2 linked regions of the Sus scrofa genome follow. The protein of the gene in region 1 binds, or shares a complex with, the protein of each later gene. Links are inferred from orthologs where the notes say so. Each region holds a gene or a part of one and is shown on either strand. Other genes may lie near its edges.

The links. Proteins that work in one complex are often made in the same cells at the same time.
Region 2: the proteins of VPS51 (region 1) and STX6 are in contact, whole or in part, in a crystal structure (PDB 4J2C), measured with the Homo sapiens proteins. The link is inferred for Sus scrofa from reciprocal best matches to the Homo sapiens genes VPS51 and STX6. Residues at the interface, in NP_037397.2 of Homo sapiens: Ala33, His34, Met36, Leu37, Leu39, Tyr40, Tyr41, Gly42, Leu43; in NP_005810.1 of Homo sapiens: Met3, Glu4, Asp5, Pro6, Phe7, Val9, Val10, Glu13, Trp59, Asp60, Asp63, Leu64, Glu66, Thr67, Ile70, Val71, Phe78, Arg88.

Annotation. Positions count from the first base shown.
Region 1 is NC_010444.4:7,091,177-7,097,088, forward strand, and holds the start of VPS51 (vacuolar protein sorting-associated protein 51 homolog), read right to left. Parts: upstream 3,723-5,912; 5' UTR 3,616-3,722; coding exon 3,391-3,615; intron 3,372-3,390; exon of another isoform or gene 3,089-3,371; intron 2,932-3,088; coding exon 2,802-2,931; intron 1-2,801. UniProt on the Homo sapiens protein: Acts as a component of the GARP complex that is involved in retrograde transport from early and late endosomes to the trans-Golgi network (TGN).
Region 2 is NC_010451.4:122,576,855-122,582,768, reverse strand, and holds the start of STX6 (syntaxin-6), read left to right. Parts: upstream 1-2,195; 5' UTR 2,196-2,402; coding exon 2,403-2,437; intron 2,438-5,914. UniProt on the Homo sapiens protein: SNARE promoting movement of transport vesicles to target membranes. Targets endosomes to the trans-Golgi network, and may therefore function in retrograde trafficking.

The DNA of each region.
Region 1 (5,912 bases):
TTCCTGGACTAGGGAACCTCCACCACAGCAGCAACCCAAGCCACGGCAGTGACAACACTGGATCCTTAACCCACCGGGTCACCAAGGAACTCTTGAAACAGCTCTTCAGCATACAAAAAATGTTCAACCTCACTCACAAGAGAAATGCAATTAAAACTACACAGATACAGAGTTCCTGTCACAGCTCAGCAGTTACTGAACCTGACTAGCATCCACGAGGACATGAGTTTGATCCCTGGCTTTGCTCAGTGGGTTAAGGATCTGGCATTGCCATGAGCTTTGGTGTAGGTCACAGACAAGGCTTGGATCTGGCGTTGCTGTGTCTGTGGTGTAGGCCGGTGGCTGCAGCTCCAATTGGATCCCTGGCTTGGGAACCTATGTATGCCATGGGTATGGCCCTAAAGAGACAAAAAAAAGACCAGAAAAAAAAAAAAAAAAGAAAGAAACAAACTATACAGATACTACTTTTTACCTCTCAGACTGCCAAAGATTGAAAATTTTGGTAACTTAGTATCGGCCAGGGAATATGGAAAGAGTTACTTTCCTATTTGCTGATGGCTGTGCAAAACCAGGTCATTTTTGTGTGTGGCAAAGAATCTGGCAATAGCTAAGAGCATTCACTTGTGAGCCTTTGCACACCCACACTTGGCCTGTGTGAGCTCCTGGACTGGGGGAATGTTCTCTGAGCGGGATTGGGGCAGCAACCCAACTTGGGGAAACAGCAGGAAGGACAAAGTGAGGAGAAAAACATCAATGACAATGACAAGGAAAATAAAGAGGAATAGATACAAAAGTTCCAATGAAAAAAATAGCAGAGAAAATCAAAGGAAAAAAATGCACAAGAAGAACTCTCAAAGCTAATGCCTCTGGGGCGAATAAAAGGTGTTCAGTTTTTTTTAAAGTTACATGAAGAGATAGACCATGAATCACAAAATGAACATTTTATGTTAGCAACACAGGCTATGGGACAAGACCATTCACCTCTCTCAGAATCCACAGAGAGGAAGGTTACTAAAAAATAAAGTCACATAAGATGAAACATCTATACTACTCTTTGGGGCTACTGGTTGGAGTTGCTTGCATTTTTTTTTTTTTTTTTTTTGGATAAATGATGATTGTGTTGTCGGTTCACAATGAATTAAGGCACCTAGCACGGACAGGGCAAGGCAGTTAAAAACTGAGTAAGAGCGGAGCAAAGGGGAGTTCTCAAAGTGACTCAGCGGAAATGAATCTGATTAGTATCCATGAGGACACAGGTTTGATCCTTGGCTTCACTCAGTGGGTTAAGGATCTGGTGTTGCTGTGAGCTGTGGTGTAGGCCTCAGATGCGCCTCGGATCTGGCGTTGCTGTGGCTATGGTGTAGGTCAGCGGCTACAGCTCCCATTCAACCCCTAGCCTGGGAACCTCCATATGCCATGGGTGCAGCCCTAAAAAAAAAAAAAAGACCTCCCTGGAAAAAAAAGAGCAGAGCTAAGGCAAAAGACAGAAGCTAAGGTACCAGAAGGCTCCCAAGATGATGATCATAAAAAGGCTTGGAAGTTCACGAGGCGTTTCATCCTCCCTCAGTGATGATCTCACTCAGAGTAAAGAGCAGGATCCTCATCCCACCTCCAAGTCCCTCCAGAAGCGGCCCCTCCACCCCAGTCACCACCACCCGCCTCCTCCCTCAACTCCCTGCTGCACTCTCGATACACCAGACATGCTCTCTTGAGAACTTTTGCTCTTGCTGTTTCCTCCCCCAAATCCTTCTCCTCATGGCTGGCTCCTCCTCATCAAAGCCTTGCTCAAACGTCACCACCTCAGAGGGGCCTTCTCATACTTACCCTATCTAAAGACAGACCTCCCCCCCAACACATTATCTTTTCCTCTTGCTCTACATTTGCTCATAGCACTTATTACTACTTTTATTTGTGCGTTCACTTATTCAGAATTCCTGGGAGAAATTTCTCAGCATAGAAATCATGATTTCTTGCTGTTTGATGCTGGTATTAACATATAGAGGGGCACCTGCTCATTGAACCTGCTTCAAATCAGATCAAAGAACAGCGATTATGTGTTACTACACCCACTGCTGTGACAGTAGCAGAATAAGAATTGTCAGAACGAGTGCCAGAGGTTCCCGGAACATTCCTATAAACTGCAGGCAGATCCATAGGACCAAGGACATGCGGGTCCAAAATTATTACAGAGAACTGAAGAGTGCGTTTCTTCAACACAGGACAGAAGCTAGTGTGGATGACAGCTGAACATTGTCTAGCACTGTCTTGAGTAGAGAATAAAGGGGGAAGAAGGGGCAAAACCCCTTTATATGATCTTTGTGTGTTACTGTCATACACTTTCTGTCTCTTCGCTTCATTGAAAAAAGAGAAAGCAAGGGGAAAGAGGGAAAGGGCAAGGAAGGAATGAAATAGAGAGAAAAAGGAAGAAAAGGGGAAAAAAAAGTGAGAGAGAAAGAGTGATAAGCTCATGTTCAAGACAGACCTGAATCAGCGAACAAAGCTACCACTAATGAGAGAAACTAATCATTACTGAGCCGTCCTTACTGTTGGAAATTCTAAGTGCTTCAGATAAATTCGTTTCTTTTAAAAATTTCATTTGTCCTTTCTTTTCTTTGGTCCCCAAAACAACCCTCTGAGAACAGTTAATACTGTTTGATGACTCGTCATCAAACCACAAAGGCTCTGAGAGAGAGGCGTGAGAGTGGATTAATGTCAGGGCAGGACTGGAATCTGGCTTCCCCAACAAAGGAGGAACTGGGGAATATGGGACTGTGTGGAGTGTGTCCCAGTAGGAGAATCACCTGTGGCTGAGATGAACTTGTTGTAGTTCTCATACACCAGGGTCTGCATGTCGCTGTCTAGAGCCCGGATCTGCCGCACCATATCGGTCTCACTGTCCATCAGCTGGGCCAGTGGGCATTCTCTACGCAGCTGGAAGAAATCGGGTGGTTAGTGTTCAGGACAGGGGGCACCCATGTCCTCCAGCCTTGCCCCTAACTGGTAGGCTTTCGGTGCAAGAAAACTCTGATCTCAACCCTGTCAGGGCTCTCAGGTAAGGAGCCTACAAGTAGCATAGCTCGGGAATTACCAGGTTGGACTCTATTAGGAATGTGTCAGCGTTTGAAATCCTCAGATGCTGTCACGGACCAGTTCTACGCCTGTCGGCGCCAGGGCCACGCCCCGTATCTCGGGTCTGTTCGAACATCGGTCCAGGAGACCTCAGACTTCGCACCATCTCAGGCCAGTACGAGTTTCCCCACGCCCTCTTATCCTCCAGCTCTGCCCCTACTGCCCGGCCCAGGGTCGTCCTGCTTTTATGAACCTCTGCTCCCCTCATCTGGGGGTGCAGTATATCGAGGGCCTGTCCCCCTCCCTCCCCCATACACACACCTTGTCCAGATACACTTCCGGGTCGAAGTGCGCCCCATTGAGGTCTGTCGGGTCCAGGGGGTCCGGCCCCACGGGGCGCCCCGCCGCCTCACCCTCTGAAAGGCCGTAGTAAAGTTTCAGCATCCCGTGCGCCTTCCGCCGACGCTCCGGAGCGTCCGCCTCGGGCCCCTCCGGGGAGCCCCCAGGTCCAGACCCCGGCCCAGGCCCAGCGGCTGCCGCCGCCATGGCTCCAACTGCAGCCCACGGGCGTGAGGCTGGGCAGGGGACCGGGAGGAGGCACTTCCGGGAGCCATAGAGTTGCTGCAACGAGGCAGTCCTTCAGGTGAAACGTCCCCCCGCAGCCCTGAGTCCTTCGAGACTAGAGTTCCCACCCCGCATTCTTCCTCCCCAAGCGAGGGGTTCCTGAGAGCCCTGGTTCCCCCAGCTTCTCAGGCGTAAGGATTTTGTGGAACTGTCCTCCCAGAAGGAGGGCGGCTTGTGGCTTCCAACCCCGCACCCTCGCAGGCAAGAGCCCACGCAATACGTCCCTAGACTCGGTGGACAGAGCGCGGGCCGTGGAGCCAGAGAGCTTATGCCTGGCATTCTGCCACTACCTTGTTACGGGAGCAGCAGTTTCAGTTTCCCCCGGATTCCTAATATTGGGGTACATATTTCGCAAGGGAGGTACGAGGATTAAATGCAGGCACAGTGCCTCTAGCGCAGCGTTTTGCATGGCCTGGTCCTCTGATGTTCATCAGAATGGCTTCAGAATTACCCGTAGCAGCACCTTGAGAAGCGGACTCCCTTCAGCTCTAGCTTCTCTCTCTCTTTTAAGTCCTGAAGTAGTTCTGGTGCACTTGAATTTGAGAACTCCCATTATACTGTGCTTAGAAGACACACTTGGCAAACCTTAAGTGACTGATGGAATGTGCTAAGTGAGGGGTTGGGTGGAGATGGTGAAGATAATTCTCAGGTTTTCTTTGAACAAAGTTACAGCTCACCTAGGTGAAGAGCTGAAGATAGGGAACGACTTAGAGTACAGATTGAGACATGCCGAGTTTGAATGGATGAAAAAGGAGAAAAAGGCTTCATCAGTGTGGTCCTTGAAATATTACTTATGATGGACTGAGGGGAACCAGGGGTGGAACAGAAACAACTTTATTTATTCTTTGGCAGGGATCCTGCAGGCCAAACACAGCCCTCCACCTGTTTTCATATTGCCTGTAAGCTAAGAATTTTTTCCCCTTTTTAAATGGTTGAAAAAGAATGACATTTCATGATATGCAAAAGTTATATGAAATTTATATTTCAGTGCCTATAAATAAATAGCTTTATGGGAACACATCATGCTCATTTGTTTACATATTACCTATGTCTGCTTTTGCACTACAAAGCACAGTTGAGTGGCTGCAACAGAATCATATGGTTGGCAACACCTAAAACATTTATTATCTGTTCTTTCACACAAAAAGTTTGCTGACTCAATGAATGGGATGTTTAGAGGGTATATAAAAATACACGTGAAGATTTCAGCTTATGAAGCTATAATCTTAGGAAAAATGAAGAGAATACAAAGATTTAGATCTACTCCAAGAAATCTATAAACTGAAAAAAAGTTGCAGTTCCCATCGTGGCTCAGCGGTTAACAAATCCGACTAGGAACCATAAGGTTGCAGGTTCGATCCCTGCCCTTGCTCAGTGGGTTAAGGATCCGGTGTTGCCGTGAGCTGTGGTGTAGGTTTCAGATGCGGCTCGGATCCTGCGTTGCTGTGGCTCTGGCGTAGGCAGGCAGTGACAGCTCCGATTGGACCCCTAGGCTGGGAACCTCCATATGCCGCGGGTGCAGCCCTAGAAAAGGCAAAAAGACAACAACAACTTAAAAAAAGTTGCAGGCGAGTTCCTGTTGTGGAGCAGCAGAAATGAATCTGACTAGGAACCATGAGGTTGCGGGTTTGATCTCTGGCCTTGCTCAGTGGGTTAAGGATCTGGCCTTGCTGTGAGCTGTGGTGTAGATCGCAGACACAGCTTGGATCTGGTGTGGTTGTGGCGTAGGCTGGCAGCTGTAGCTCCAATTAGACCCCTAGCCTGGGACCCTCCATATGCAGAGAGTGCAGCCCTAAAAAGCCAAAAAAAAAAAAACAGCAACATTGCAGGGAATTAGTTTCCCTGTGCAGAAGGTTAAGTATCCAATGTCACTGCAGTGGCTCTGGTTGCTGCTTTGGTGCAAGTTTGACCCCTGGCCTGGGAACTTCTGCATGCTTTGGGCATGGTCAAAATCAAAGCAAAACAAAAGGCTACACAATACTGTTAAAATTATTATGCAAAATTTGGAATAGAGACAAAGAGTGTAGCATGATTGTCCAATATCATACTGGGGCATTATTTAACAAGCCCACCCGAGGATTATTTAATCACCCATCAGATTGTACACTTGTTTGATTTTGCTAGATATTGCCCCAGAGCAATGCAAAACATTTATAGCCAGTTGAAAAATAACCTCAAAACTTTGTTTGTATTGCCCTGTAGGACATCAACCAATTTTG
Region 2 (5,914 bases), on another chromosome or scaffold:
CCTGGCTGCCCCTAGCCATTGTTTAGAACCCACTCTCCCCCCCAAACACAAATAAACTGGTAGCTTTTTTCTGCGTTTCTATGGCGACCCATGCTCTTTTCTCATTTTGTATAATGGCCTGTCTCTCCCACCAGTCTGAGAATTCCTTGATGGCAAGGACCAAACGTGTTCATCTCTGTGTCCTCTGTACCTAGCGCACAGTAAGAGAACAACACATGCCAGGCACTGTTCTGAGCGTTTTTCAGACATTAATTCATTCAGTCCTCACGCCACTTTATGAGGGAGGTGTTTTGTGGTGTCCATTTCATAGTTGAGGACAGAGACTAAGCAGTTTGCCCAAGGTGCAATAATCAGGAAGTAGCAGAACTGGGATTCAAACCCAAGTAATCTGGTTGCAACTCTGGATCTTAATCACCATTCTCATCTCAATTTCCATGTGTTTGTTGAATGAATGAAAGATGATCCCTTTTCAATTCCTCACCTCAATATGTTCAGAACTGAAACAGTTCTCTTCCAGGAGGGTTCCCCCCCACATCTGACCTCCATCGCTCCTCCAGGGTCTTGGAGAAGCCTGGAGTCTTTGACTTTTACCTCTTTCCTCCCTGATCCCATTCAATCTCTCATCAAGTCTAGTTGTTTTGTTTTGTTTTTCCTTGGAAACATCTATCAGATTCTCTCCTTCCTCTCCATTTACAATCCCTGCTGTCCTGGTCTAGTCCTCATCCCTTCAGGTGAGATGACCACAGCAGCTTCCAGACTGGTTTCCCTAACTTCACTTCCTCACTCTGTGGGAGACTTGGGGTTTCCAGGCTTTTTTTTTTTTTTTTTTCCCCTTTTAGAGCTGCACCTGCAGCACGTGTAATTTCCAGGCTAGTGGTCGAATAGGAGCTGCAGCTGCTGGCTTATGCTGCACTTCAAGGCAACTCTGGATCCTTAATCCACTGAGCGTGGCTAGGGATGGAACCCACATCCTCATGGATACTAGTTGGGTTCTTAACCCCACTGAGTCACAACAGGAACTCCATCTAGCCATTTTTATTTAAACTTCACAACAATCTATGAGCTAAATATTCATATTTTATAGATGAGAGACTGAATAACAGAACCCAGGTTCAAACAGGGTTTGTCTGGCTCTGAGGACTCTTCTATCTTCAAAAAGACTGCTAACTTTAAGCCAGTCACTTAAATTCCAAGTCTCAGATTTCTTATCTGTATAATGGGGATTACAACATTGTGAGAGCACCTGAGATAAACTAAGCTCAGTGCCTGCCACACAGTATGTGCTCAATGATAATCAGCAATTAAAGTTCGCAAAACCCATAGACTATCTAGCGTATGAGTTTGATAAACTGTTCTGACCAAAAGGCTTCCTGGAAGAGCTCTTGAACCACTTAGCTGGTAAGAAGTTGCCAGACCTGGCCCCTTCTTTGTCCTTCAAAAATGCTCTCTTCCAGGAAGCACCATATGCTGTATGAAAAAATTATCTTACTGATCACTTCAAGAACACAGAAAAGACAAAAAACGCAACACACACAAAAACACATCCTAGCCTGGTGGAAAGTGCACAGAATCTGGGGCTCTGCCCTGTCCAGGTTGTGTGAGCACAAGAAATCTTGAAACCTATATGAATTTTTCTAATCTGCAAAATGGGAATAATAATACCTTCCCCTCCAAGGATACTGAGATAACTCACAGCCTTCAGCGTCTTGCTGGGCACTATAAGACCCACAGAAAGGAGTTGTGCAACATTATCAGAGTCAGATAAGGTAGACGAGCTTTATTCTAAGTCGAGGACGAGATGGATTTCTAAATCTATATGTTATCAAAATAAGTATCAAAAGGAGAGGAAAGGTGAAAAGATTGTGCAAAGCTGATACTATCTCCGTATCTAGGAAACCTGACTACCTTTCTTGCCAGGGAACAAGCAGCTCCTCCCCCTGAATCTTGAGAGGTGAGTGTTGAGAAGACCCGCCCTCTCCGCCGCCGCCAGAGCCCCGCCTCCAGGGTCGAGTAACGCAAGGCCCAGGCCCTGCTGATGGGGGGTGGGGGGGGCTCTGGTCACGTGAGCGCGAGTGCGGAAGTGGTGCGGCTGACGGCGTTCGTGATTGGTCGAGGCTGAGGGACCTGGGGGCGGGGCCAAGCGGCCGGACGCGCCGGGAGGAGCCGAGGAGGGGGCCGCGCCGGGGCCGGCGCCAGAGTCACGGCTTCGGTCTGAGGTGCAGACAGAGTACTGGACCCGCGGCGGGCCGGTGCACCCCTGCCTGCGCGCGCAGCCGCTACAGGTCCCGCAGGCCGAGACGCGGGCTGCTGCGCGAGGCGGGTGGGGTGGGCAGAGGGAGATTGGGAGGGCGCGGGCGCCCTGTGCGCAGAGCAGGCGTGAGGCGGCCGGGGGCCGGGACGCCATGTCCATGGAGGACCCCTTCTTTGTGGTGAAAGGGTGAGTGTCGTAGGGGGCTCCACTGGAGGAGGCGGCGGCAGTGCTGCCTGCCCTCACCTCCCCGCTTTTCTCGCTCTAGGGGGAGGGGAGACAAGTAGAGTCTGGCGTGGGGACCGCTTAGCCTTGAGGGCTATGATAAAGCGTCCAGAGACATCCCCTCTTCGTGCTACCTGGACTTTGAAACCGTGCCCCCAGTCAAGCCCCTGGGGAGGGGGGGGGTCTCCTTTGGCTTGTGCGCCGTTCTACAACTTATGGAGGGGTGTCGAGGGGTTCAGCAGCTCCTCAGGTGGGGAGGGAGACAGGCGTCCCAGACCAAAGTGGGGCTGTAGTGGAGCACCGGGCCCTGCTTTGAAGGGGGAAAAACAGCATCTGGGCAGGAAAAGGGAAATGGGCCTCCTGAGCTTTGTAGTTGGCGTGGACGGGGGTGAGCTCCCATTGTCCATTGAGTTCGGAGCGCTGGCCCGCTGACTGGCGAGACCACAACAAGCCCAGAGGCGTCTGAGCACGTTTGCAGGCTGGGAGGCGGGGGCGCGAGGCTCCGGAAGACAACTCTATTCAGTGGGGGAGTTTTTACCGAGTAATGGGAGGGGAGGAAAGCTGCTGTTCAAACTCAGTGGTGATGTTGGAAGGAAAACAAAATGAAATCAGCCAAACCAAACTTTCCTTAGCTTTCTGTTAGCACAGGGATTTTCCCACAGTGCTAAAGGAAATGAGTGCTTTCTTTTTAACTCCCTGATTTCATCCAGGCTATTTGACAGGTTTCCCCCATTTCTTCTTTTTTCTGCCTTTGAGACTAGAGCTGTCCTAACTTATTTTTCCCTAAGAAGTGTCGTGACTCCATCTTTGATTGCTCAATTGTTTGTTTGGAGATAGAAGCTTTAACTGCACTCTGTTATATAGGCTTTGTAGCCATTAAACAAATGCAGAAAAGATTGATTCTGTTGTTATAACTTGTCAGCTTTTGTTTTAAATGTCAAACAAAACAATCTGAGAACTGCAACGTTCTGGAAAAATCAGTGCCAATGACCTTAAAGTGCCTCTGCTTTCAACTAGTTGCTACTAGCTTCCTATTTCTGTAGGGGTAAAAGTTGACCAGTTGCTTGAGTGTTATTTTTTTTTTTTTACGGTTCATTTTACAAAATTTAAATGGTACTTTAAGTTAAATACTTTATTACCCATGATACAGTTAAATATATTTATGTATTTCTAACATTGCCTTTAAAAGTTTTTTTTTAACCTGACTTTAATATAAATGGAAAAACGCTGAGTTTAGATTATTGGTAATATGTGGCTCTCTACCTGGAAAATGTGTGGTTTATTAGGATTGATTTTTAGGGGATAATTTTTAAATGTGAAAACTGTTTTTTCCTTGAGTGAACGTTCTTAATGCTTAGGGTTGCAAAGGTTATCTCTGGCTGTGGAGACTGTAGATAATCAGAATTTTAAAATTTTTAATGGGATTTGTGAAAATGCAAAATTGTTTTGCCATCTTGACTTTTTTTTTCTTGATGGTAGCCAGTGCAGTTCACCAGTGCTTGCTCACTGATTAGATATCACTGCTTTATTGGAACATTGGCCTTGAGTCTTGCTTGACTTTGACATCATTTTAGCTCATGTTCTTAAGATGTCAAAACCTTCTGCTTTGTGGGAGTTCCCGTTGTGGCGCAGTGCAAATGGATCCAGCTAGTATCCATGAGGACATGGGTTCCATCCCTGGCCTCACTCAGTGGGTTAAGGATCTGGCATTGCTATGAGCTGTGGTGTAGGTCACAGATGAGGCTTGGATCTGGCTTTGTTGTGGCTGTGGTATAGGCCGGCACCTGTAGCTACAATTCAGACCCCTGGCCTGGAGGGAACTGCCATATGCCACAGGTGCAGCCCTTAAAAGAAAAAGAAAAAAAACCCTTCTGCTGTGGAAAAGTAAAATTAGCTACATGAGTGCCTCCACAATGTGTGAGGGAATGTATGGAGCCATGTATCTCTGCTTATTGAAAGTTTTGAAAATGCACCCCACGATGTGGAAAAATTAAAGATGCTTGAATTGTGGCCCTTAGCCTAGGAGCTGGTAGTCTAATCTGAAAAAAACTTACCCCCAAATTAAGTAGAAATGACAGGTGGTAAGTGATCAAATGCTGTAGCCTAGGAGCTGGTAGTCTAATCTGAAAAACAACTTACCCCCAAATTAAGTAGAAATGACAGGTGGTAAGTGATCAAATGCTGAAGTGAATGCTACAGAAGATTAGGTGCCCCAGTAGTCCGGAGAAAGGCATCTCATTAGGAATGGCTGTGGTTGGAAAAGCTTTGGAGGTAGTAGTATGTCTTAGGTTTTGAAGATGGGTAGCTCTTAGATAATTCAGCCTGTGTCTCTTCTGGACTATTGGCAAGAAGAGTATCCATTTGGTCCTCTTGCTCCCAATCCCTTTCCTCTTTCATCTATCTTAGTTCTGCTGGCTGGGTGCTCTCCAGTATGCCGGTGTGAGCCACACATGCCGTGTTACATTGCCTAGTAGATGCAGTAAAAAGTAAAAGACAAGTGAAATTAATTTTAATGTCATCTTTAACCAGTATACTCAAAATATTTCAACATGTGATGAATATAAAGACTGTTAATGAAAGATTTTTCCCTTTTTGTACTACGTCTTAAAAATCCGGCGAGTATTTTGTACTTAGAGCACATCTCAATTTGGACACTAAATTTTCATCAGAAACACTTGATCTTTATTTGGAGTTCATTAAACACACAGTTCAAAGTGCGGATTGATGTACCCAGATTGTTCCACGTATACTTTCAGAATTTTTGGTAGCTGAAGTGTATATCAGTTTTTAAAGTTAAATTAAAATGTAAAATTTAGGAGTTCCCATCGTGGCTCAGTGGTTAATGAATCCGACTAGGAACCATGAGGTTGCGGGTTCGATCCCTGCCCTTGCTCGGTGGGTTAAGGATCCGGTGTTGCCGTGAGCTGTGGTGTAGGTTGCAGACGCGGCTTGGATCCTGCGTGGCTGTGGCGTAGGCCGGAGGCTATAGCTCCGATTCGACCCCTCGCCTGGGAACCTCCATATGCCACAGGAGCGGCCCTAGAAAAGGCAAAAAGACCAAAAAAAAAGAAAGAAAATTTAAAATTTAGTTCCTCGGCCACACTAGCCTGCTTCAGCAGCCTCATGTGGCTTCCATATTGGGGGCAGCACAGGTGTAGCTTTTCTAGAACCCATGCAGGAGTTCTCTCCTTAACATCATTTAGTGGCAGTCTGTTGCCTATAGAGGTAAATCTGAACACTTCGGGATGCAGCCTTTCTCCACCCTTGCTCACTCTGCCTGCCTTTAGCATGGAGCTCTGGCACTGCCAGACTCAGTCTAGTGACTATGACCACAGTACTGGGTGTTCTTACTTTGCCTAATTCACCCACTCAGCTTTTTGGATTCACTGTGAGCATCTCACTATCTCCAGGAAGTGCTTCCCTTGGCACCTACAACACATT